Caenorhabditis elegans: one gene and its partners. The protein of the gene in region 1 interacts with the protein of each later gene in a pairwise test. Each region holds a gene or a part of one and is shown in the gene's direction. Other genes may lie near its edges.

Region 1 (8,343 bases):
TTCCTATATTTGAATGTTTCAAGATTCTTCTCAAAAACTTACTCAAAGTTGTAATGCTACCATTTCGACTTTGAGGAAATTTTAAGCAATTTTATCGAAATTTTCAAACAAAAGAAATTTAATTTTTTTAAAAGAACAAGTATTTATCTATTTTTCTGTATAATATTTTATTTAAAAGCTTCGACACAACAACGAGAAACGAGGACATTTGCAACACACATAATCGGTGCCTGCCTGTGCGCCTATAGACCTATAGGCGCAGGCCGCCTAAACCTATGCCTGTAGGCATTAACACCACCACATTCGAATCTTCTCCTTCCGCTTGCCATCATTATTTTATCACCAAATCATTTTGTTTATGAATTTCAAAGACATGTTCAGTCAGGTCTTTCAATGAAAGACCTGTTCCAGGTGGGAACTGAACTGCTTTCCCTTTCCGGGTTTTGCAAATTTATTTGCCAAAGAAACACGAAAAACTGATGTTTGGATTTGAATAAGTTCTTTTGTTTAGATCAAATTACAAGTCAACATTTGGAATAATTATGTTTTGAGAATATTTGGGCTGTAACGAAATATAGAAAATTGCAAAAGTTTTAGAATTATATTTATATCTAGTAAGACTTTAGAGTTATCAAAAAGTCTTGAACTAAGAAAATTGGAAACTTTTAAGATGAATATCTTATTAGTTGACGAATCCTGGATAGCATCTGAAATGTCTGACTATGAGATATAAGCTTTTAGGTCAAAAGCTTGCCATGCACAGTTTCAAAAAGTATGGAATTTTTGAGTTTATTTTAGGTATCTATTCTGTGTTCGTAGACTATGTAGAAGTAAAGTACGAGAAAATGCAATGTAAAATTTCAAAAGAGCCAAGATATGGGCGGAGCCTAATTTGGAAAATCAGTGCAGCATTGTCAAAGTTTATGCTATTAAATACTTAAATCAAAAACTTTGAATTTTAATTTAAAATCACCAACTTGAGTCTTGTCACGATCGAAACATTTCAACTAACGAAACAATCAAAGAGGTACGGTAGTTGAAAAATTCCGCGCGTGCCAGGACCCGATAGAAACTGTTCGATCGGTATTACGCAATGTGTGTAAAACGATTCAAAAGAACAGAAAATAATTGTATTACAGAGAACGGAAGAGATAAAAGTTGTATAGACATATGGAAACTAGAAACACGTTTGACACAGTGAATAGATTGAATGAGGCGAGCTGTAGAAGATGGAGAAGCTGTATGAATGCGATGACTTCGCACCTTTTCTGACAGATTTAAGATGAAGATAGTTGTTTTTTTTGCAAGTTAAATGAAACGAACAAGTGAAAACTTTGAATCCAAAAAGTTTCATAAAAAGATATGAAATGAAGAAAAATGTGTAGAAGTAACAAAAGTGAGTGGAAGTATTCAACGAAAAGCGATGGAAACATTTGAATGAAAGGAAGGCCTCCCGGGAAAGAGGGAGAGAAAGAGAGGCTAACCATCCGTCCGGCCTTTCGTCAAACCCGTTTCTCTCTTTCACAGTTTCCCGATCCTTGCTGGTCTCATGCTTCTTCTTCTTCTCCTCCATCTACAGCCATTTCGGTGTTGTTCGCTATTGTAAACGATGTGAGAATTTCTTCGGACTATCAGAGAGAGAGAGATAGAGAGAGAGAGAGGGAGAGAGACCAGCTATCTATAGCATTTGACCTGATAAGAAAGCCGATTCGAATCGACGGTGGAAAGGTTTGATGAACTAAGCTGCCACGGAGGGACGAAGAGATATAAATTGGAAATATTTGGAAATATCAAATGAAATATTTCGTAATTGGATGTGAAACTGTCTGTCTGTATTTAGGGATTTACAAGGAATTTTTGTTCTTCTCACTAAACAATCACTATACATAAAGTGGGGAAATAATTTGGAAAAATATGATTTTTAAGAAAAGTCGACACAAAAGTTCACAAAAAGCTTGAAAGTTCATAAAAGCAACATATTTGGTGAATAGTTCTTCAGTTTGATTTTATGTTTTTTTTTTCCAAACATTCCAAATATTTTTTTTTGTTCGTTTTTCCAGTTCTTGAACCTCGTCAGTGCCATTCACGGTGATCTAGATCATATTCTGCGGTGACAAATTGCAATAAAACAAGAAGTTTATTCCCCATTAAATAAACTTCTTTTGTAAAAACCTGAAAATCTGTCTGAAAATAGCTTTTTTAAATATTTTCGTGGTCTAGATTTTTCGTGGTCTACATTTTTTATAACGGTCTCCCTCTCTCGTTCAAACTGCCGCCAACAAAAGAGCGCAATAGAGCATGCTTGCACAGCCGTGGTGAGAGACACCTCTTGTTTAATTGAATGCGCCTTTAAACTGTAATCCAATTTGTGACTCATTTCCCCTTCAATTTTCTCTCCAATTTTCAGCAAAATGGCTTACAAAGATGCCAGACAGGTGAAAATTGCTGAAAAACTTGTGATACTGAATGATCGTGCTGCTGGAATGATGACACGGATATACAATATTAAGAAATCAAGCGGCGGTGAGTAGTCTTTGAAAATTTCTGTTGTTATAAAATGCTGAAGATTTCAGATTCAAAAGTGAAACCACAATTTCTTAGCGACAAGAAGATGGAAGGTGCAATCAAACATATAGTTAGAAAGTTTCCTGTTGTTGATTGCAGATCGAATTCAGTGAGTAGTTCAAATTGTTGATTTCTCATGCCGAAATTAATTTCAGTCGACGTTCGAATATGTACAAGAAAAGTCCACGGAAATTACAAAATCTTTATCGCTATATTACTACACATTTGCTGATATTCTTGATTTAAAAGATCACATTATGCAAGTTTTGACAACTATGGAATCATGTCAATGTCAGCTGGATGTGGTGAGTATATTATTGATTTTAAATATTTATATCGTTCGTATAATGTTTAAGCTAAAATTTTATTTTTTAGACGCTCAATTACGACCTGACAACGAGTTATTTGAATCTTGTTGTACATCTCGTCACAATGATGATTCTTTTATCAAGAATTGAAGACCGGAAAGCTGTTCTTGGACTTTTTAATGCGGCATATGATCTACAACACGGACAAAGTGAAGCATCATTTCCAAGATTAGGACAAATGATTCTTGATTATGAAAATCCGTTAAAAAAGCTTCATGAAGATCTCGGACCACTGAACAGGCTAATTTATTCAGCTCTTTCTTCTGTTACACACACATATCAGCGCAGAAACAAGACAGCAGATTCATGGAGAACATCAAATGTTTTCTCGTTGACCGCTGCTCCAGCACAAATTTTATATGCTGCTCAAACAGAAACTGTGAGCAAGTTTTTATTTAATGGAAAATTATTTATGTAAATCGTTTCAGATTGCATGCGAATATCTATCACTCGACGTCATTGATCGATGGATTGTGTGTAAGTTAATATACAAATTAGTATTAAAATGTTTATTAAAATTGTAATATTTTCAGTCTGCGGAACAGTATGCCATTCAACTCTTCTTAACGATGACAACATTAGGCACATGTGGCAGCTGGCACTTCAAATGAATCTGTGTCTTCGCGTTTTCCGAGACGAAACATTTATTGTTCATCAAGAGATTCAAGCGTTTTTAGAATCTTCCAAAGAAAAAAGCAAACGGTTACAAGATGTTAAAGATGCGTTCAATCATGCATCTGTTACTGCGTAAGTTAAAAAATATGATAAACAAAGCGTTTTCTAATAATTTGTATTTCAGAGTTGCCGTCCACGCAGACCGTCGCCGCTTCCTTAGAAGTTCTCTTCGAGAGCTGTCACTTTTACTACGAGATCAGCCCGGACTACTTGGCCCGAAAATTCTCTATGTCTGGATGGCTCTTGGAGCAGGAAGAGATGAGGTCATATGGCTTCTACGGCATCAAGTTGAAGTTCCTGCTATCAGCAAAAAAGGCAGCAGAATGGTCGAGGAGCTTGTTGACAGGCAACTTCCAGAACTGCTATTTTATATGCTGGAATTAAGAGATCTCGTTACGAAATATTATGCAGTGATTCAAAGATACTATCTACAGGTTTTGTTAAAACTTTAAATTTATCTATTTTAAATCTTTTTTATTTTCAGTACGTGTCTAGCTATGATTCAATTGTTGTTTCTGAAGAGATTAACCAAGCAAATGGCCTCACCCAGGAAGAAGCGGTTCTTTTGACCGATTTTGCCAACGAAATAGGAAATATCAACTCTGATACGGATCTTCGTGCTCTTCGACTAGACTGGTTTAGATTTCAAGCTTGGACATCTGCTGCTCGGAGCCATTTCCAACTTTCAAGACATAAAAAACTCGCAATATACATGAATACTTCAGTTTTTCATCTGAAAATGATCGATTTGCAAGACGAGATGCTAAGGGAAACAAGTGATTTATCATTATACTGCTTCTATCCAAAACTCGCTGAAAAACATTGGCTCAACTGTCTCCAGCTACCTGCTCAAGCTCGATATGTGCTCAGTTTTGCACGTCTTGCCGCGCATTTCACAAGCGCCCTCCATGACATGTGTCCTGAAGAAAAAGCATTTATCACTGAAAAAGCCTTGGCTCAATGCAATTCTGTAATTGAAGAGACGTGCAAACAATTGTCATATATCCTGGAAAAAGTGGCTGAACATGAATTCGGATTAGCTTATCAAATGACACCGAGCGCCGTGGCTGTAAGAGTTGTTGCTCAAGTTGTTCAACAGAAAGGATCTGGAAAAGCTGCAGCGGCGGCCGCAGCAGCCGCTCGAGATTATTTCATTGCTGGAGAAGAAAGTTATCGAGTTGATCGTCAAGCATTAACAATGCCTGATAAGTTGCAAACAACTCTTCGTAAGTTTTAAAACGTTTTTTAAATTAGATTTTATATCACAAATTTCCCACTTTTCAGTTGAAATCTCTGCAGCTCTCGGAGCTCATCGTCAAATTTACGTTGCTGATCACACATTTGCACCGAGGACGTACCTAGCGCAGTCCCTTGAAACTAAATTTGTAGAATTGCTTCATGGAATGTTCTGGGAAGGTCAACCACATGCAAGTAATCCAAAAAGACCAAGTGAAATGCTCCTTGCGCTACAAGCCTACATGACGGTTCTTCAAAATCTTGATACAGCAAGTAAGTGGTTTTTAAAATAATCTATAAATATTCTCATAAATGGAATTTCAGTTTCTGTGGATATCAGTAATACAATGCAAACAACTCTTCTACAACAAACTCAACTCGTTGATTCCAAGAATAAAGACACAATCGCAGCACTCTACACGAAATGGTATCTCGAAGTTTTGCTCCGTCGTGCTTCATCTGGTCATATGGTTTGGAGTGAGCATCTACGAACAATGTTATCATCAGGACAGGAACAACTCTCGTTCATGCCCGATCATTATTCAGATCCTCAAGAATTGAGAGCATTGGTTCAAATTATCGGACCTTATGGAGTAAAGTTGATGACTGAACGGCTGATTTGGCACGTGGCCAGTCAAATTATGGAGATGAGCAAGATTGTTGCAACATACAAAGATGCTCTACAGATTGCTAGATCTAATTTCGATAATGCTGAAAAGATGAAGGATGTTTTAAATCTTTTGAGCGTCGAACCAAAGGACAAGAAAACTCCGAACGCAACATGCGCAGCTGATGCAATTCTGCAAAGAACTATTATTATCGGACAGATTTGTCTGTTTCGTGATGCTCTCCACGATGCTCTTCGTCATATCGTCGAATCTAAATTGCCATTTCTTCAAGCATCATTTGATATGCTTTATCACAATTTGGACGATGTTGATAAAGTTAAAATTGGAGAAATGTCAGCTGCGATGGGAGTCACAGGACCAGTTGATATGTCGTTGGTGAATGCGGTTCGTGCTCAAAATCCGAATATTCACCCTCAAGAACACTATGTTAATAGTTGTCTATTGATGGTTGCCGTCGCTATCTGTATTCCACGAATTGGAATGTCGGATCTTTCGTCTTACAAGCCTAGCATTCAAGGTACATACTTTTACAGCTTTTTGCAAAAATTAAAAATAAACAATTTCAGCCAGCTTGAACAATAGTCACTGTGTTCCAATGGCGATTAACACTATCGGATCAGCTCTTTTCCATCTCCACGAGCAAAATGATATCCAGTCGAGGATGAAGGAGTTCTTGGCGGTTAGCTCTATCATTATTAACACATATTCTCACCTAGAAAAATTTTCAGCTCGCGTCCTCGGGTATTCTACGAACTATTCATGAACGTGATAACAGTCGACAAATATCCGACGACGTTCTTCGTTCCCACACAACTCTCTACATTATCCTTGAACAGATGGTTCGGAAAAACCGTTGGCTGTCGATGGATGTTCTTGAAACCTGTTTCCCATATAATCTCGTCCGTACAGCCTACCAACAATGCTACGAGGCTGATGCTCAATAATTTTATCTGCGATCCCAATATGTACAGCTACGATCCCTTCTCACATACTTCCTGTGCCTGTATTTTATTTATTTTATTTTTCTTTCTTCAACGAACCATTACTATACGGGTTCCCGCTTCCGAATACCGCCTTTTTGACTATTATTCCCTGCATTTTCGTGTGAATCATTGCTCCCAAGTACTCATTTTGCCTTCCATTTGGCTTTAATTTATTGCAGTTTGTCGTCATAATAAACTTTTTATCAATTTATCAAAAATTTTTATTTTATCTATTACATAAATGCGATTAAATTTTAAGTTAAAAAAACGAGAATTAGCTAAATTAGATATGCTTGGTAATTTGAATTTGAATTCGCGCGTAAAAGTGATGGATGGGTCTCGCCACGACCGGCATGCAATTTTGAATTTTTTCACATTTTGAGGTCCAATGAGGTCGAAATTTTTAGACATTTTTAGTAAAAAAAAATTATTTATGTTTTTGCAGTCTCTTCAGTATGTTTCCTGAATTGCAGACACTCCAGTGGCCGATCATAAAGTATAAGCAATTGAGAGGAAGCGGTAATCGACAAGAGGTTTTAAAAATAGATGAATTCTGTATCGAAAAGTTAAATTTGCAGGGCAAAGATATTCGCGTTGTTATGGAGGTGAATAGCAGGAAGCTGACGGTTATTCATGGAGTCGAGCCGATCGAGACCGTTTATTGTAACATGGAAGTTTCTAGGTATCCGAGTTTGAAGTGAGTCTTTGTTGTTTGAGAAATTAAAGTCAAATTGCCCGGTTTTCAGAATGAAGAACACAAATTTGTTCGTGATTGTAAACAACCAGGCTCAAGGTTTCCGATTAACTCTTCGTGGCGAAGATCGGGAGAATTTTCTGTCAACTGTCAGAAAATTTGCTTATATTTCGGAGACTCCAGTTAAGGATCATTTGAATCGCTCATCCACAAATACCGGTATTCTTTATTCTTTTAATAGTTTCAAGTTTCATTTTTGAATTATAGATGTGTGGTACAACAGTGTCGAGAAACGGAAGGGAGGATCGTCATCACAGCCGACATCCTTCTCCCAACCATGCGATATTGATATTGGTGGCTCGGTGAAGAAATCCGCGGCAAGAAACTTATCACATACGTATTCCACCAACATTGGTGAAAGTTCCCGGATGCCAGCACTCACAGCAAATGAATTCTTCTCACAGCCAGTCTACAATCCTTACAATAGGCCAGCGTCGAGTGCCAGCACTGTTAGTTCATCGATTGGCTCGGCTTACAGCGTTCTCCACGATGATTCACCATTTTCTGGATTTTCGCCAAATTCGAACCATTCTTTGCAATTTCCGTGTCCCAGCCCATCGCACAGTTCGTCATTTTCCGGATTTTCGCAGGTAAATTGAAAATTAACTGGAATATCCCACCCTATTAAATTAATTTTCAGAGTTCATCACACTCTTCTCAATTGTCCTCCAGTCCCGCAAACGCACCTTCATTTCCGGATTTTCACAGCCCACCCTCTGCCAATGATATCCAGATAGATCAACTCAATCCGGTGACTGTGGCTCCTCAAATCAAGCAAACTGCGGACAAATGCGTTCAAACAGATAAACAATATGTTGATGAACGTTTCGACGATCCTGCTTTCCTGAGGAGATACATAAAGAGAGTTATGAGTGATTCAAAAATGGCGAGATTGGTTGGAATGATGCGATCTGAAATTCGAAAACTTCCAAATGACGAATTTGATGCATTTTACAAAGTAAGTTTCATTTGTTAAATAATAATAAAATTGACCGACTTCAAAACATAATTTACAGAAAGTCAAGGATCACCAACGCACTGCTCCCAGCTCGTCATCAAAAATCGGTCCCCCAGCTATCGTCCAACAAACTTCTGATATGGAATTTTAGGCGAATCACCTTCTGCACGATCTT
Region 2 (6,393 bases), on another chromosome or scaffold:
ATGTTCCGCTATATTGTAATTTCTTTAAATTTGGTACTTCAGCTTAAAGGAACACGTTGTTTTTCTGAGTTGGTTCGCCACGATCTCAGCCTCAGTGGTCGCTACAAGCTTTTCATTTCACAAATGTGTTTATTTGATATAGAAAAATAAGTTTATAAAATTCCTTATACGAAACTGTACAGAAAGTGTATACCAATTAAATATTGAGCAGCTAGTTTCAAGTTTTTTTGCGAGACGATACTCACTTCGATTGAATTTTCAAATGGAATTCAAACCAAAATATCATTACTGAATACTTCAAAAAGTATATTTTCAGCTGTAGAATTAATTTAAGTTCAATTTCGTGCCTTTTATGAAACGTACATTTATGCTTAGCCAGACAGATGCATTAATTTTTGTGAAATGTTTCGTTGTATCACAGTGCTAATTTCAGTCTTTTGGGGTATTCTATTAGAAGATCAGTTTTTTCTATCACCTCGTATTCCAATTTCACATCCACAGACAGCTACATACTTTCCATTTTCTCGATTAGTGCGCACTTTGTGGTGTTACACTGCTCATTCTTGTTTTTTTTCCCTATATAGTATTTAGCTGCCACATCAGTGAAAAATTGAGTAACAATTTTATAACTTGAAAAAAAAGGTTTTCATTAAAAACTCACATTTAACATTTTTCCAGTTCAGTATTTTTCCCAAGTTTTACGAATGCAATTTTCTCTAGTGAAAATCAGATTCTGCTCAAGAAAAAAGACGCAGAGGGCAGCTATACTTGCAGCATAATTTTTGTTTTCTCAAAATCATATTAACTAGGAAAACACTCGCAAAAAAATTATGTTCGTTATATTTTCAAGAACTCTAATTCTACTTCGATGCATACGACATTTGTATTCTTGGAATACATTTGTGCATATATTTTTTTGTTGTTTTCTGACTTTATCAAATCACTGATTATGTACAAAAATTTCAAACAGAATGCACAACATTTTCTAGAAAGGACCGCTAGCTTTTTCATAGAAAATACATAAACTTTATGCGTAATTATTAATTACCTCTAAAATTATTAATTAATATCATAACCCCATCATCTACAATTCTCCTAACTCTGCACTACACTCTTCTTTAACTCCGAGTTTGTTTCCCACCGGATTCAGAATTTCACTGGACTTCACGCGCTTGCACCCGATGTTTTCTGTTTTTCCACTTTTCTGCCAGCAATGCAATTGATGATGCTGAAAAAGAAAAAGTTGATTATCGGAAGAGGAGAGAGGAAAATGGAAAGAGAGAGAGAGGTGTTAGATGAAAATCGGATGGATTCATTCTTGTCGTTCTCATTCATTTTTGGCACTTTCATCTGCATCAATCCGTATGAGTGTGAGCAAAAAATGAGAGACATCCGATCATCTTCTCCTCATTTTCATATCTTTTTTGCAGCTTCTCATCTTTTGCTCATTTCCGTGTCTATTTGATGTTTTAGTTTTCACGTTCCTATTAATATTATGTTATTCTGCCTGAGAAGCCGGGTTTTTTTATGCAGCTGTTGCCCTTTTAGATGTCACTAAATATCCTAAATTATATATATTGTTGAATATAAATACGGATTTATCTTTCTTACTGGAAATGAAAAATACGATAGTTCAATAAAAGATAGTCTTTTAATTTTTCCTTCTTTGTTAATCTTTTGCAGTTTTAGTAAAATTCGTAGGTATACATACTATGGGACAAGATTCATATTTATTTTCTCATTTTTCCAAACAACTTTTACCTTCACAATTTTTTTTTAAGTATCAAGTCGAAGTTGATAGACCCTATTTTCCACAATTATAAGTGTACTTATTTTTAAAACAACCAATCTCTAACTTCTATTCATCTTTTAAGAATTGTTATTCGCCAAAAACGATATTGCAGTCACCAGATACGTTTCCTATTATTTAATTTCTGATATTCTTTGAAATTTTATTCGCGTCCATTGCTCTGAATTTCCAGCTTTTTCGCAACAAAACACGTTTTGTTCTGATAATTGCTCATGGGTTTGTTACTAGAAAATAACTAGAAAAAAAATATGAGCGCACGTTTCCATTAATCCAAACTTCCTGGAAGTGTCCGTGCTTACTTTTTCCCCGTTTTTGCCCCGACTGCTAATTAAGTTCACCTGAACTTTTATACTCTCAATCCAATCTCCTATCTATCTCTTTCACTTTCTCGGTTGTTTGTCTTTCTTTCTCATAACATCTGCAATGTTCCTTTTCTTCATTTATTTCACTATTTTCGTGTTCTTATTTTCTTTATTTTCTTCTTTTATTCTGATGATGTTGATGACAATGACGAATATGCAATAAGGAATGTAGTTCGCGTAGCAATAGATGAAGAGAGCAAAGGGGGACATTAGAATCTAGATTTATTTTTTGTCTTCCGCTTTTCAGTCTCATTTTTTGGATCATTGCTCTCACAACTCATTTAAGAAAGTTATGAGAAAATTGATTAGTTGTTAAAATACTAACTAGGCTAATCTGTCATTTTCGAAGTACTCTATTTTCTTTTTTAAATCCAATATTTGCGATACTATGATGTTGCTCACAACTAGATGCTCTAGAAACCAAACATTCAAGTTCTATTTTGCCTTACGCGAAGTAAAACTATTCTTAAAATAAGGTAATTTTCTGAAAAATGGAGTGTTCTCTGTCCAGTGTAGGCCAAAAGAAGTCTAAAACATTTTTTGAAGAGACTTTCGAAAAAAATAGACTTTAAGAACAATTTTGGAAAACTAAAATTTTCATTTAGTTATTTGTCATTTTTCATATTCTCGAAACACTTAATACCAATTAGAATCATGTTAACCTTTAAATGAAAACCAAGCTAATCCTCCTACTTTTGGATTATGTTTTTTATGCTTGACTTCCGTTTATTTTTCGTTTAGTTTATGTTTTTCTATGTTCTGAAAATTTTCTTTTCTCTTATTTATTGATTTTCAGGTTTTATTCCTCTTATCACATAATCACAAGTGGAAGGAGGGAATAGGATATCAGAGGTGTAAAACGACCATTGAATAATCAGAAAATTGCTCTTCCGGTCGAAAGTCGTCTTTGTATTTCATCGGGACGGTGGGAAAGACGACACTAGACTGCGAAGAGATACAAAGAAATCATGGAAAGGTTTGTATAATTTAAAGTTGGAAAATCTTGGGGTAGCTTCAATTGTGTTTATTATTTCAAAAATTTTTTTTTTCAGTCTAAAATTCAGAAATACCAATTTTTCTAAAAACTCCAGAAAGAATTAAATATCCAAGTTTTAAAAAATGTGATTTTTCAAAACGACAAACATTTCCATTCTCGATACTCCAACTTCATTCTTAATTAATTAATACTTAATAAAACTTAATAAATAACCAATTTTTTTCAGCTTCAAAGAGCTCGCCCGTGAATATGATGAGAAGTTCAAAGCCTTTCAAGATGATCTTCAAAAATGGGAAGAAACTTCAGAAAGAAAGTGAGTTTTAAGCAATTTCTCCGAGAAAGTTAGGTTTTAAATTTCATTTTTTACAGAGAATACGCAGAGTTTCATCGTGTTCAAGCAGAATCTGAATTCCCAGAGCTGAAAAGAGAACGGGAGGATCGAGAACGATGGGCTCGTGCTGAACGAATCCGCGGTGAAGATGAGAAGAGTATGCTGGCAAAAGAGCACGCCGACAAGAAAATTCGGCTAGGTGTTGCAAAAATCCCACGACTTCTCACAGAGAGTGAACGAAAAATGGATGAATTTGTGGAACGACCCGGTTCAATTCTGAAAGATATGAAGAAAGAACATCGACAATCAGTGTTGGATCGTCTTGAAGAATGGAGCCCTGAAGAGAGATCATTGTTTAAGAGTCGACAAGCAGATCATGTGAAGATTTTCCATGGACTAACCGAGTTTTTTGTTGATAAAACCGCATCGGATCTTGTGCTTTTTTACTATATGAACAAGAAAACCGAAGACTACAAGAAGGACTTCAAACCTAAGAAACGAGTCACAAAATATAAAGTTGGAGCATTTCCATCGGTTGAAGAGCTTGCATACTTTCGAATGATGCCTCCTTTGGATTTTTCTTCATTTCCCAAAAACTCTCTAATGTGTTATTTTTGCTGTCGTACAGTCAACGGAATCGATCTTAATGGAACATTTATGCCAAAAGAGGCTTATGAAATTTTTGGTAAGTATAATGTTCAAATTTGTATTTCAAAATCTTCAATCTCCCTTTATATCCCCTTTTGAGACGAATTCCACCTTTTCACAGACGTAGAGAAAACGACGCAGAACCCTGCAATTTCTGATTCGTTTTGTTCTAGGCGATGTGAAAATTTGTATCTGAAAAAAATAAAATAGGAATACATTTTTCAACCCTACAATAAAAAATTTGAGAAGTCAGAAGTGTGTATCTATAAATATATATTTCAGCTATCTGTCCTGATGAAGATCGAGTTGTTTGTTCGGGTTGTCGTGAAGAAGCTGCAAAACTATATAAAGACAAGTAAGTTGTAGAAATCTTTGAAACATAATTAGAATTACCATAATTTTCAGTCGGTGCTTTGGTAATCGATGCTCAAATCAGAAGAAACGAGCAAATCGAGTCAATAGGAATATTCCTCTAGATTTCGCCGACTTTCCAGTCAGAACGCGTGCATTCATCATGGATAAACTCGGATCGACACGTGTTGCTGTCAAATTTTGTACTCCATGCAAGAATGCCTTGACTCGGTGGATTAATGATGTGAGTTGTTAAAACGGGGATATCTACTATTCTGAAAAACAACCATATGACATCCGAAAAAGTTATCAACGAGGGGTCTGAATTGTACTGTAAAAACGATTTCCCGATTTCTTGTATCTTTTAACCAATACATCCTTTGTGGATTAGGAAATATGTAGTAGTAAAGAGCAAGATGTAGGGTCGTAAAGTGAGAGCTCATAATCGGAGGAACATGCAATTACTTGGAAAGGGTGAATGCGGTGGTCCTCTTTTTTGATACGACACTCTCTCTCTCATGCACATACATTTATTTTCGGATAATAGGGAGATCATAAAAGTACAGTATCATGTGTGATTCGTGACTGATTTGCATTCGAATAAAAAATAAAACATATTCGTTCACTCTGTTTTATCATTTTTTTACTATCGGGAATTTTTAAAATTATATTTTTCGACAAATTTTCGCGCTTTTCTTCCGGTATCTTTTTTAATTCGATTAAATACGTCAAATTGCAAAAGGAACATCGATTGAAAAAAAAACCTAGAAATTTTTATCAGTTTTCGGTGTATTGAGACTGATATCTAGTACGCTTAAAGTCCACTGAAAACCAATAACAATTATTGTAAGACTAAAATTTTCACTTTGAAATGAAAATTAGCAACTCCACATATTTATTCTGAGGTACAACAGTTTATAAAACGTTAATGATTAAAAAATTTTTAGAAATGTTTTGTTCAAGAATGACAATCTATTACTTTTGGGCCCTCTTCAAACCCAAACATTGTGCTTTGCTCGAGATTGATCTTTCTCATTTATATTCTGACACATTCATCTCTTGAAAGGAGTGTGCTGAGAATAAGCAAGCTTCAGAATTGAACGATCCTACTCTATTAAACCAGGAAGTGTTGTATATTCTATGCACGGCATTCTCAGTGATAAAGGCGATTTTGTTGGTCGAAAATTATATTTGTAAAGTCCCATGAGAGAATGGGCTCTTTTATGGTTGGGAAAGAGAACACGGTACCTGTCACCGTTGATATGAGAAATTAAAATGTGAAAATAAAAATATGAAAAGCAACAAAAACAATAAATATTTTCAGGTGAACAACAAAGAGGAAACAATAATGGCAGAACTCTTGAACTATGAGGGACAAGTTGGTTGGACGGATGATGAAAAGACAAAACTTGTGACATTAATTAACTCATCACCGACACTTGATTGGGTTTCCATTTCGGAAGGAATGAATCGTCGACCGAATGAGTGCAAAATGCAATATGATGCTATGAATGGTGTCAAAACTCAGCCAATGATTGAAGAAGTTGATGAAGAAGATGGAAATGGTCAGGAAGAAGGAGGTGATGCATTGGTGAATACACCTACAACATCAAGCGCTGCTGCCAGAAGAAGTGGATTAGCGAGGAATGCTAAAAAACCGTAAGTTTATATGAAAAGTTGAAAATATAGTAACTTTCTATTACAGAGTGCGAACACCTCGGGCTCCTCGTTCAGCTGGAGGTCGTAGAACAGGCGGAGCTGTTACTCGTGCTCAGGCAGTGCCAAAACCCGTCGAGGATCTTGGAGAGGAAATTGATGAAATGGAGATTGAAGATAATGATGAGGATGCAAGCAGAGGTAGTAGAGGGAAGGATTCCAAGGCACCAAGTGATCG
Region 3 (8,173 bases), on another chromosome or scaffold:
ACACATCCATTTTGTCTCGACGTTGGTCATGTTCTCAACTATACGAATAGCAACACAGAATTCCGAAATAGTCTCAAAAATTTGACGGAACTCTTTCTCGGAGCACAAATTCAATCAGAATTCGGTCATTGCTCGTATGAAGATGCGTGGGCAGCGATGCGCCTCGCTCAGCTGAAACTCGAAAAAGGATTGATGTTCGGGAACGTGAGCTTCGGATGGAAATATTCTGAATACGCAAAAAACAATGGAGCAGTTGAGAAGAAAATTGTCACGGCTGCTGAAATCACATCAAAACCGTGTACTGATTGCTCTCAGCCAACAGTTGTTGCTTGCACAGTTGCCAATTGCAGATGCAGATTTGTATCGACTCCTTCGAAATGTGTGCATTGTGTGAAGATCGGGATAAGTGCCCAAGGAGATTTTCATTGGCAGGATACACTTGATGTGGATCATGAAAAGAAAGCATCTCCAATCGGGAATTATTTGAAAAAGGATAAAATGAAATCTGTGATGTGTGCTTTCGATACTGCTATTCTCGACTGTCCTCCCATATCAAAAAAGTAAGATATTTAAAAATAATAAAGTTTAAGTACCTAATTTATTTCAGGGTCCGCTCAAAACTTCATTCCTCTTTTCCCTCCTATAATGGATTCGTCAACAGTGTAGCTTCTGAAATGCTCAATGACAGTGTAATCCTCGTGGAGATTGACAAAGAAAAAATAGAACCATTGGAAGAAACTGATTCAGAGCAAGGAGAAGTTCCTGACAACGCGGAGGCACTGAATCGGATTCTTGAAAAACTGGTTGCCGCCACGGCTAAAAACTCACTGATTATGATGATCTTGTCTAATTCCACTAAAAACGTGCTCTATGTAAGAGTCAAATAATCTTTTTTTTTAATATTAAGTTTCTCATAAAATGAATAACAAATAAAATTTGGTTTAATTTAAACTTCAATTTCCAACAAAACAACAACATTGATAACAAAGAAACGAAACAGTGAAATCATAAAATTTACTTGGCGGCTTTACTGAGCTTTGCCTTCTTTTTCAGCTTTTCCAAATCGATCGGCGCGTCGTTCGGTCGCTTCTTGTTCTGTTTTTCTCGCGGAGCTTCCTCTTTTGCTTGATACACTTTCAACTTTTGCTTCTGTTTTTCCACAGTCTTCACCGCCGATGCTTCCAATTTCGCTCTGAAAATTTCATAAATTTATTAAATTCCGTTACGATTTTTGAATTAAGAATACTTACCTCTTTTTGTTCATCTTTCTTTCGTTCTCGCGAATAAAATATTCTCCGCTTTCAATCTGCTTGTCAATCTTGCTCATAACTGGAGCCGGTGGGAACGGAGTGAACTCCTTCTTGGGCTTCATCTTGTAAGCCTTCTTCTTCTTTGCTTCCTTTGTTGTAGTTGCAGATTGAACCTTCTTTCGGTAGTTTGGAAGATAAGCATCCCAGTTTGCATCTTTCAATTCATCATTTTTAGATAATTCCCTTTTGATCATCATAGTTTTAATATTGTAGATTGGGTGAATATTTTTCATACAATCAGTGACGATTTGACTGAAATTTTTTATGATTTCAAAGAGAGTCAGAATATATTTTCAACTCACTTGATTTGTTTCAGTCCAGCAAGCGGTCCAACAGCACAAACAGTTCCTCCTTGAACACAAACATAGCACTGTGTCAGCAATTCGAGAGCTTTCAAGGTAGCACCATCGTTTCCAATTAGCCGAGCTCTACGCTTCACAAATCGTTCTTTATTGCGAACCATTGAAGAGATTTTGATAATCTCGCAATAGATTTCATCTTCGAGAACACGAATCGCTTGTTCATAAGGCACACTACGGGATAGAAGCTTGATGACCTCGCGAGCCTTCATGATTATATAAGGATCCCAAGTTTTACGAGTAGTTCGGACACACATTGTTCCCTCGAGGAGATCCAAATCTGCTTTCAGGAAATGCTCTCCTAGAGCTTTTTCGATGAGTGGCCAACTTTCTTTAATATACTTTTCGCGATATTTGGGGAATAATGAAGAAAATGATGACTCTTGGAGTAGACCATTCGGATTGTCTTCCTGAAAAATGTATTCATTTTCTTCAGGTTCATACTACAAGAGAAAAATTACATGGAACCAACTTTTTTCATTGCTTAACATTTAATTTTTCAGAAAATATTTAGTGTTTTGGAGATTTTAAAATTAGTTTTAAGTAAATTTAGCAGGTAACTTCAAAAATCGAAATATATTTATTTAGAATACAATATCAAAAACATACCTTGCTGAAAGTGTTAATATCCCACCACTCTGCATCTTTCTGTGGTCCGAACATTTTTGCAGTCTCTTTCCGCGTCTTCTTCTCTTCCTCCGGTTCACCAGCCCATTCGGGCTCGTATTCTCCACGAGGTTTAGCTTTTTTGTCAACGTTGCTCATCTTAAATTATTTTTAATTAATATTTAATGTTTTATACAAAATAAAATAAAGTTATATACAAAAAAAATCAGAAGAAATTGATTAAAAATGAAGAAAAAGGGAACAAAAACTGAGAGAGGAATTCGTGCGGCAGCATTGCATAAAAAGTGCGCGGGGGTTGCGACTCCTGCTTCACGCTCCGCCCACTGGTTTGTCGATTAATTTTTCTGTGCGGAATTTACACTGCTTCTGCTGGCTTTTCTTATGTTTTAACTGTTTTTGTGTTTTATATAATTCTGAAAGTTAAATCTTGTTTCAATTTGCGTCTATTTTACCTGTTTTTTTAAACAAATAAGTGGCAGGTAATGAACGGCGCAACAACTGAAGCAGAGGACCATAGCGTATACTTGCCTTCTGCGCATCCGACTGATCAGATTGACGTAATTTTTTATTTTGTTGCGTTCAATTTCATTATAATCTTGTTCAGCCAATCGAGGGAACATCATCGGAGAATAATGATTCGCCAATTGATGAAAGCTCGAATGATTCGACTACTTCTTCGTTGTCAGTACTAAAGCCCACTGATCCTGTAAAATGCGATACGTGTTCAGTATTGGCTACGCTATCGTTTTTCAAGCAGCGCCAGGTTGGTTGTACAGGATAAGCTAAAACAAATTGGAAAAATTTCAGCCAGCGAGTGGCGGCAAAACAGAGGATATCTTCAAAAGCTATTGCAGTAATTGCAAAACTTTTTTTGGAATGTCCTCCAAGAAAGTCAGAGGAGTATTTTCGTTTGTGAATGAAGGTAGAGACACGATACTTTTATAGAAAATTTAAAATTACAATTTCAGATGGAAGAATATTGTCCAATAGTGAAAGACTTGAATTCCTTCGTTCTCAGAAAAGAGCCAGATCCGCTTCACGCTCAAATAGTGTATGTCAAGTACCTGAAAAAGGTTCGGGAGTTTCCAATTCTGACACGTCGACTAATGGGAATTCGGATGAGAAGGACGAAGAAATTGCTAAAGAAGATGATGAAGGCATCGATGAGGATGATGGTGATGAGGAAACACCTGAACAAAAAACCACCATCCCAAAAAAGAAACCCAAAAATGCGTTTGGTGGAAAATCAAAGAAAAACAATTGGGGAACTCGGAAGAAGAGCAAAGCCAAAGTCTCTCAAGTTCAGTCCACGAGTTCCGAGAAAATCAGTAAAAAGGACCAAGAAAATGCTCGTAAGTACGAGTTTTCGAATATTGTTGCCAAATATTTTATTTTCAGGTCCGAGAGAAACTAAATTAAGAAATACGCCAACTGTCACACCAATCGACAAAAAGAGAGGTCGACCCATAAAAATCTCACCAAGAGCTGCGACGATTTCGAGTGTATCAACAAAGCCAACACATACTTCTGAATTTTTCAAAAGTTCTCCTATAACGTCACATGTGTCCAAAACTGCGGAAACTTGCTGCCAAACCGATACGGATCTCTTATTGAAATCAACATATCTCAAGGAATGCTTCAATACAACTGTCAGAGATGCCCTTGGAGAGCCGGTTGCTGCTCGGTTAAATGATATGCCAATGGTTTTGAAGAAAAAGTTTCTACTTATGATTAGAACGATTAGCGAGCAGGAGAAGCGAATTTTAAAATATGAAGAGAACGAGGAGAAAAGTCTGTTGGCAGTGAAAACGTTGAAAGACTTCGGAAGGTCTACTCGACTCGAATTTTCCGACAGTTTCCGAAATATTCGTGCTGATTTGGTTGAGAGAAAAGAAGAATTCAAAGCTCATGAAGCCGAGGTTGTAGCAGTAATAAAAAGCCAGACAAGGACATATGAAGCTTATAAGCAACAGATGCAAAAAAACGCAGAAGATCAGAAATTGGAGTACAGCGCTCTGCTGGCAAAAGTTGAGTTCCTCCAACAAGAACTAACATATGAGAAGGATCGAGCTGAATTCTATCTGCGAGCAAGAGATGTATGCAAAAAAGAACAAAATAAAGCCATCGAACAGGCGGAAACTGCTGTGAAGAACTTGAATGATCGACTTTTTCTGGCGGATAACGAGACGTGTACTCGCTGCAAAACTGTCGAGAAGATACGCAAAAAAATGACGATGGAAGTGGCTGAAATGACTGAAAAATGTGCACGGGCAAATCAGGAAAGGAATGATGCGGTGGAGAGAGCCGCGTTATTCGAGTCTGCTGCACAGAAATTGGGTAAAGATTGTGATTCGATAAAATACGAACGTGATTCTTGGAAAGCATATGCGGAACGCTACAAGAAAGATGTCATAAAATTGACTCATACTTTGAAAGGTTATTATTTTTCTAATTATTTAAATTTCAAAATATTTAATTTTCAGAAAAGGATAAAGAGCTGCTGGACAAAATCGCTGAAATCGCTGCAACGCCTAAAAGTATAACAACACCGAGAAGCGTGGCGTGTACACCGAATGATCCTGAAAGGGTTTCTCCTCCGGAAGATGGGGAGATAGTTGACACTCCACCTCATTCATCTCCTCAAGCTACACTAAATCCTGCACCGAAAGCTGTCGCCAAGCCGTTGATACAACAAATTGTTGAAAAGAAGGCGCCGCCACAAATCGCGTCCGGTTTTGAATCATGGATTCCGAAAGAAAAATTGAATGCTCCGGCGCCTTCCATTCCAAAATCGGTTTCTGCTTTTGGAGTTCCATTGAAACCGCCGAATGCTGAATCAGAGAGGCCGAAGGTTGCACCTTCTTCTCAACCGAATCCGTGGGAAAAACTGGCAAAATCCACTTCAGCAGCTGCTTCTAATTCTCTATTTGAAGCTCTTTCTAAAGTTCAAGCTGATAATTTTAGTGGCGGTGGAAGCACTCCGTCGTACTCGAAATCTTATTTGGAAGAGATGAACCGAGTAATGAGTACAAGAAAACGCGTCGTAGAGGAAGCCGCAGAGGTACAGAAAAGTAAGTTTTTTTCAGATTTATTAACTGGAAAATTATTTATTTATTTATTTCAGAGCCAAATCCTGCTCCGTCCGGTGTTACTGCGACTCCACCCAAAAAAGCAAAAACGTCAAATTCTGTTCCGCCAAACAAAATGGTGTCTGCCGCTTCTACACCTTCGTCATCGTCTACCCCAGGCCCCGCCAGTACAAGTGTCGGCAGGTTCACTAATTTGAAAAAGATTCCGAAACTTAGTGAAAAACCTCCACAAGCCGAATTTGCTCCAGCTCTCGGATTGTCTCAGAAAAGTGACGAGTCCGGTGAAATACCAGGATTGGGAATGGAAAAACTAGATGACAGTGTGAAGGAAAAAGAAAAAGAAGAGATGATGAAAAAGATAAAGCCAGCAGAATCAACGACTCCCACTGTCAAAGCATCGCCGGCTCAAAATCCGAATAAGCCAAATACTCCAGCTCAGAAGCAGAATAAGTTCAATGGCTCTCCAAATAAGAAACCAAATATGAGACCCGTCAATCGTACTGGTAATTCACAAGCTCCTCCCTGGCAAAGATCCCGACAACCATCACCACCTCCATCAAATCAGTCGCCATGGCGTCAACAACCTCAGCAACAATATGGAATACAATCGAATCAGAATCGAGGTTTCCAAATGGATTTGGGTATGGACAGGCCTTGGAGCGATTCTCCGTCTGGGCCAAGTGGTTCACGTTCAAATAAGTACGTTTTTTAATTACAAAAACCAATTTATTTCATAATTTGAAAAGTCTTTAAAATTCTAAAAATATTCTAAAGTTCAGAAATATCGCAGAAAAAAAAATAAAAAATCGAGCAATACTTTAAAAGATTCAACTTTTCTAAATTTTTAAAAATGATTTTATCAATTTTGTAAAAAATTTAAAGTGCTGAACCATTTTTTTGAATTCTCTTCGCAAATGAGTGACGTCATTTTCGCGTTTTCAGGCGATACTGATTTTTTATAATATGAAACTTTATTTGTCAGTTGTCAAACATTTTTCCGTAAAGAAAACGTGAAAATTCGAAATAAATTCGCTGAAACTTTAAAATTAGCCTGAAATTCGATAATTTATATTTGAAACACTTTTGTGCGGAAAAATGTCTAAAAATTGATAAATTATGTTTTTATAAAATTTATATTATAAAATTTAAAAAATGAAGAAAAACCAATCAGTATGGCCGAAAAACGCAAAAATGTCGAAAATTATGCCACTCATGTAATTCAGAAATAATTCATCCCTTCTTATTTTTTTCAAAATTGGAGAAATCATTAAAAATGTACAAATTTTTTAACAGTTATTTATATTCGATGCAGTGAGAATGTTCTCTGTCATTTAGGGCAAAATACCCATCAGATGAATTCCAAACCATAAGTTATTCAGTTTTAATATCCAATTTCAATTTTAGCAGCTTCTCCGACCTACCATGGCATCGAGCTCAAGATACTCCATTCGGAAAAGTTCCTATACAGGACAATTTTGCGATGAGTGGACCACGTCCGATGCCTCCGCGTCCTATGCCACCTCAACAATCTCCGTTCTTTAATAATGCTCCTGGAAACGGCTTCTATCCACCACAACCACGTGATTTTTCCCCGCCGCAACCTCCACAACAATCTCGAATGTTCCCACCGTCTCAGCCACCATTTGGATACGCTGGGCCTCCGAATCAAGGACGAGGAAACCCACGTTCATTTTACGGCTAAAATGCTCTTTCAGGACTCACCTTGTTCAATTCCTCTAATCGATCGCAAAGATCTCATCTAGTACTATTTTATAAGTAGTGTGTTTTAATTTTATAAATACCTGATGTATAGTTTTTGCTTTTTATACAATTCCTTTTTTCGTAATGAACTGTTTTAAAATTACTTATTCTTTTTAGATATTTTATATTCATTTCTTGTGTTCAGTGGATCACAATTGTGTACTTTTTCTTTTATTCATTTTAATACAAATTTATTGTTCTATTAAAAATAAGTTAGAAATTCATGAAAGTTGGGATTTTCAGTTAATCTAGAGTTCCTCTTTTCCTGGTCTGACAAGTTTCTCAAGTGAGAGATCGAAGTGAAGGTACGAGTTTCCTGGAATTGCTGGAGGTCTTCCATTTTCTCCATAAGCGAGCTCTGGTGGAATAACAACTTTTCTCTTCTCTCCCTGACACATTCCTTCCATGGCAATGTCCATTCCCTTGATAACTTGTCCGGAGCCCATTTTGAAGATAAATGGACGATTGCGGCTCCAGCTCGAATCGATGAAAGATCCATCCTCGAGATTTAGTGTGTACTGTTGATGAAGTGTATCTCCGGCTTGAGCCTTTTCGGTGCATCCCTCTACCTCGTGAGTAATGTGAATGTGAACTCCTTCATCAGTGATCCACTTGGCTCCGGGTTTTGGACGGAAGATTGATTTCAGCTCGACGAAGTAGTATAGAGTTTCTCCTTTCTAGAATAGTACAAATTACCATTTTATTTGTTTTGCAATTTAAAAATAGATTTTAAAAAATATAAATCAACTTACTCCTTCTACTTCATCTCCATCTTCGTCGAATCCTTGCTCTGGTGGAATGATCACTTTTCGCTGTTCGCCGACACACATTCCCTCCATTGCAATTTCCATTCCATGAATCACCTCGCCTTTTCCAAGAGTGAAAGTGTACGGCTTTTGGCCAAAGTTGCTTCCAATCACCTTACCTTCCTTGTCGGAAAGCTTGTAAAATTGCTCCAATTGATCTCCAGACTCGGATTTGATTTTGCATTTTGAGTCTCCAATTTTCTTGATAATTTCAATCTTGA

What was found.
Region 2: the proteins of gex-3 (region 1) and gei-8 interact in a two-hybrid assay, tested with the Caenorhabditis elegans proteins (one large-scale study listed by BioGRID).
Region 3: the proteins of gex-3 (region 1) and gei-6 interact in a two-hybrid assay, tested with the Caenorhabditis elegans proteins (one large-scale study listed by BioGRID).

What each region holds. Positions count from the first base shown.
Region 1 is NC_003282.8:12,402,024-12,410,366, forward strand, and holds gex-3 (Membrane-associated protein gex-3), read left to right. Parts: upstream 1-2,407; 5' UTR 2,408-2,411; coding exon 2,412-2,523; intron 2,524-2,573; coding exon 2,574-2,674; intron 2,675-2,720; coding exon 2,721-2,870; intron 2,871-2,940; coding exon 2,941-3,312; intron 3,313-3,361; coding exon 3,362-3,410; intron 3,411-3,466; coding exon 3,467-3,680; intron 3,681-3,732; coding exon 3,733-4,042; intron 4,043-4,092; coding exon 4,093-4,834; intron 4,835-4,892; coding exon 4,893-5,117; intron 5,118-5,168; coding exon 5,169-5,990; intron 5,991-6,039; coding exon 6,040-6,152; intron 6,153-6,201; coding exon 6,202-6,417; 3' UTR 6,418-6,667; downstream 6,668-8,343. Other genes in the region: dsb-1 (Double-Strand Break factor), read left to right, coding at 6,912-6,989, 7,035-7,153, 7,203-7,369, 7,418-7,800, 7,851-8,168, 8,227-8,319. UniProt on the Caenorhabditis elegans protein: Rac effector required for tissue morphogenesis, cell migrations and egg laying. May play a role in egg laying and in yolk protein clatherin-mediated endocytosis by oocytes during oogenesis.
Region 2 is NC_003281.10:8,117,808-8,124,200, reverse strand, and holds the start of gei-8 (Nuclear receptor corepressor 1), read left to right. Parts: upstream 1-2,968; 5' UTR 2,969-3,140; coding exon 3,141-3,148; intron 3,149-3,395; coding exon 3,396-3,482; intron 3,483-3,538; coding exon 3,539-4,185; intron 4,186-4,430; coding exon 4,431-4,503; intron 4,504-4,553; coding exon 4,554-4,743; intron 4,744-5,823; coding exon 5,824-6,158; intron 6,159-6,204; coding exon 6,205-6,393. UniProt on the Caenorhabditis elegans protein: Mediates transcriptional repression by certain nuclear receptors. Plays a role in development and neuronal function. May play a role in muscle-specific oxidative mitochondrial metabolism.
Region 3 is NC_003283.11:7,225,451-7,233,623, reverse strand, and holds gei-6 (GEX Interacting protein), read left to right. Parts: upstream 1-2,775; 5' UTR 2,776-2,778; coding exon 2,779-2,853; intron 2,854-2,900; coding exon 2,901-3,059; intron 3,060-3,103; coding exon 3,104-3,218; intron 3,219-3,264; coding exon 3,265-3,648; intron 3,649-3,694; coding exon 3,695-4,732; intron 4,733-4,779; coding exon 4,780-5,367; intron 5,368-5,420; coding exon 5,421-6,084; intron 6,085-6,789; coding exon 6,790-7,087; 3' UTR 7,088-7,248; downstream 7,249-8,173. Other genes in the region: C05C8.5 (Exonuclease domain-containing protein), read left to right, coding at 1-560, 608-887; krr-1 (KRR1 small subunit processome component), read right to left, coding at 1,015-1,192, 1,251-1,562, 1,613-2,079, 2,279-2,434; fkb-3 (peptidylprolyl isomerase), read right to left, coding at 7,395-7,823, 7,899-8,173.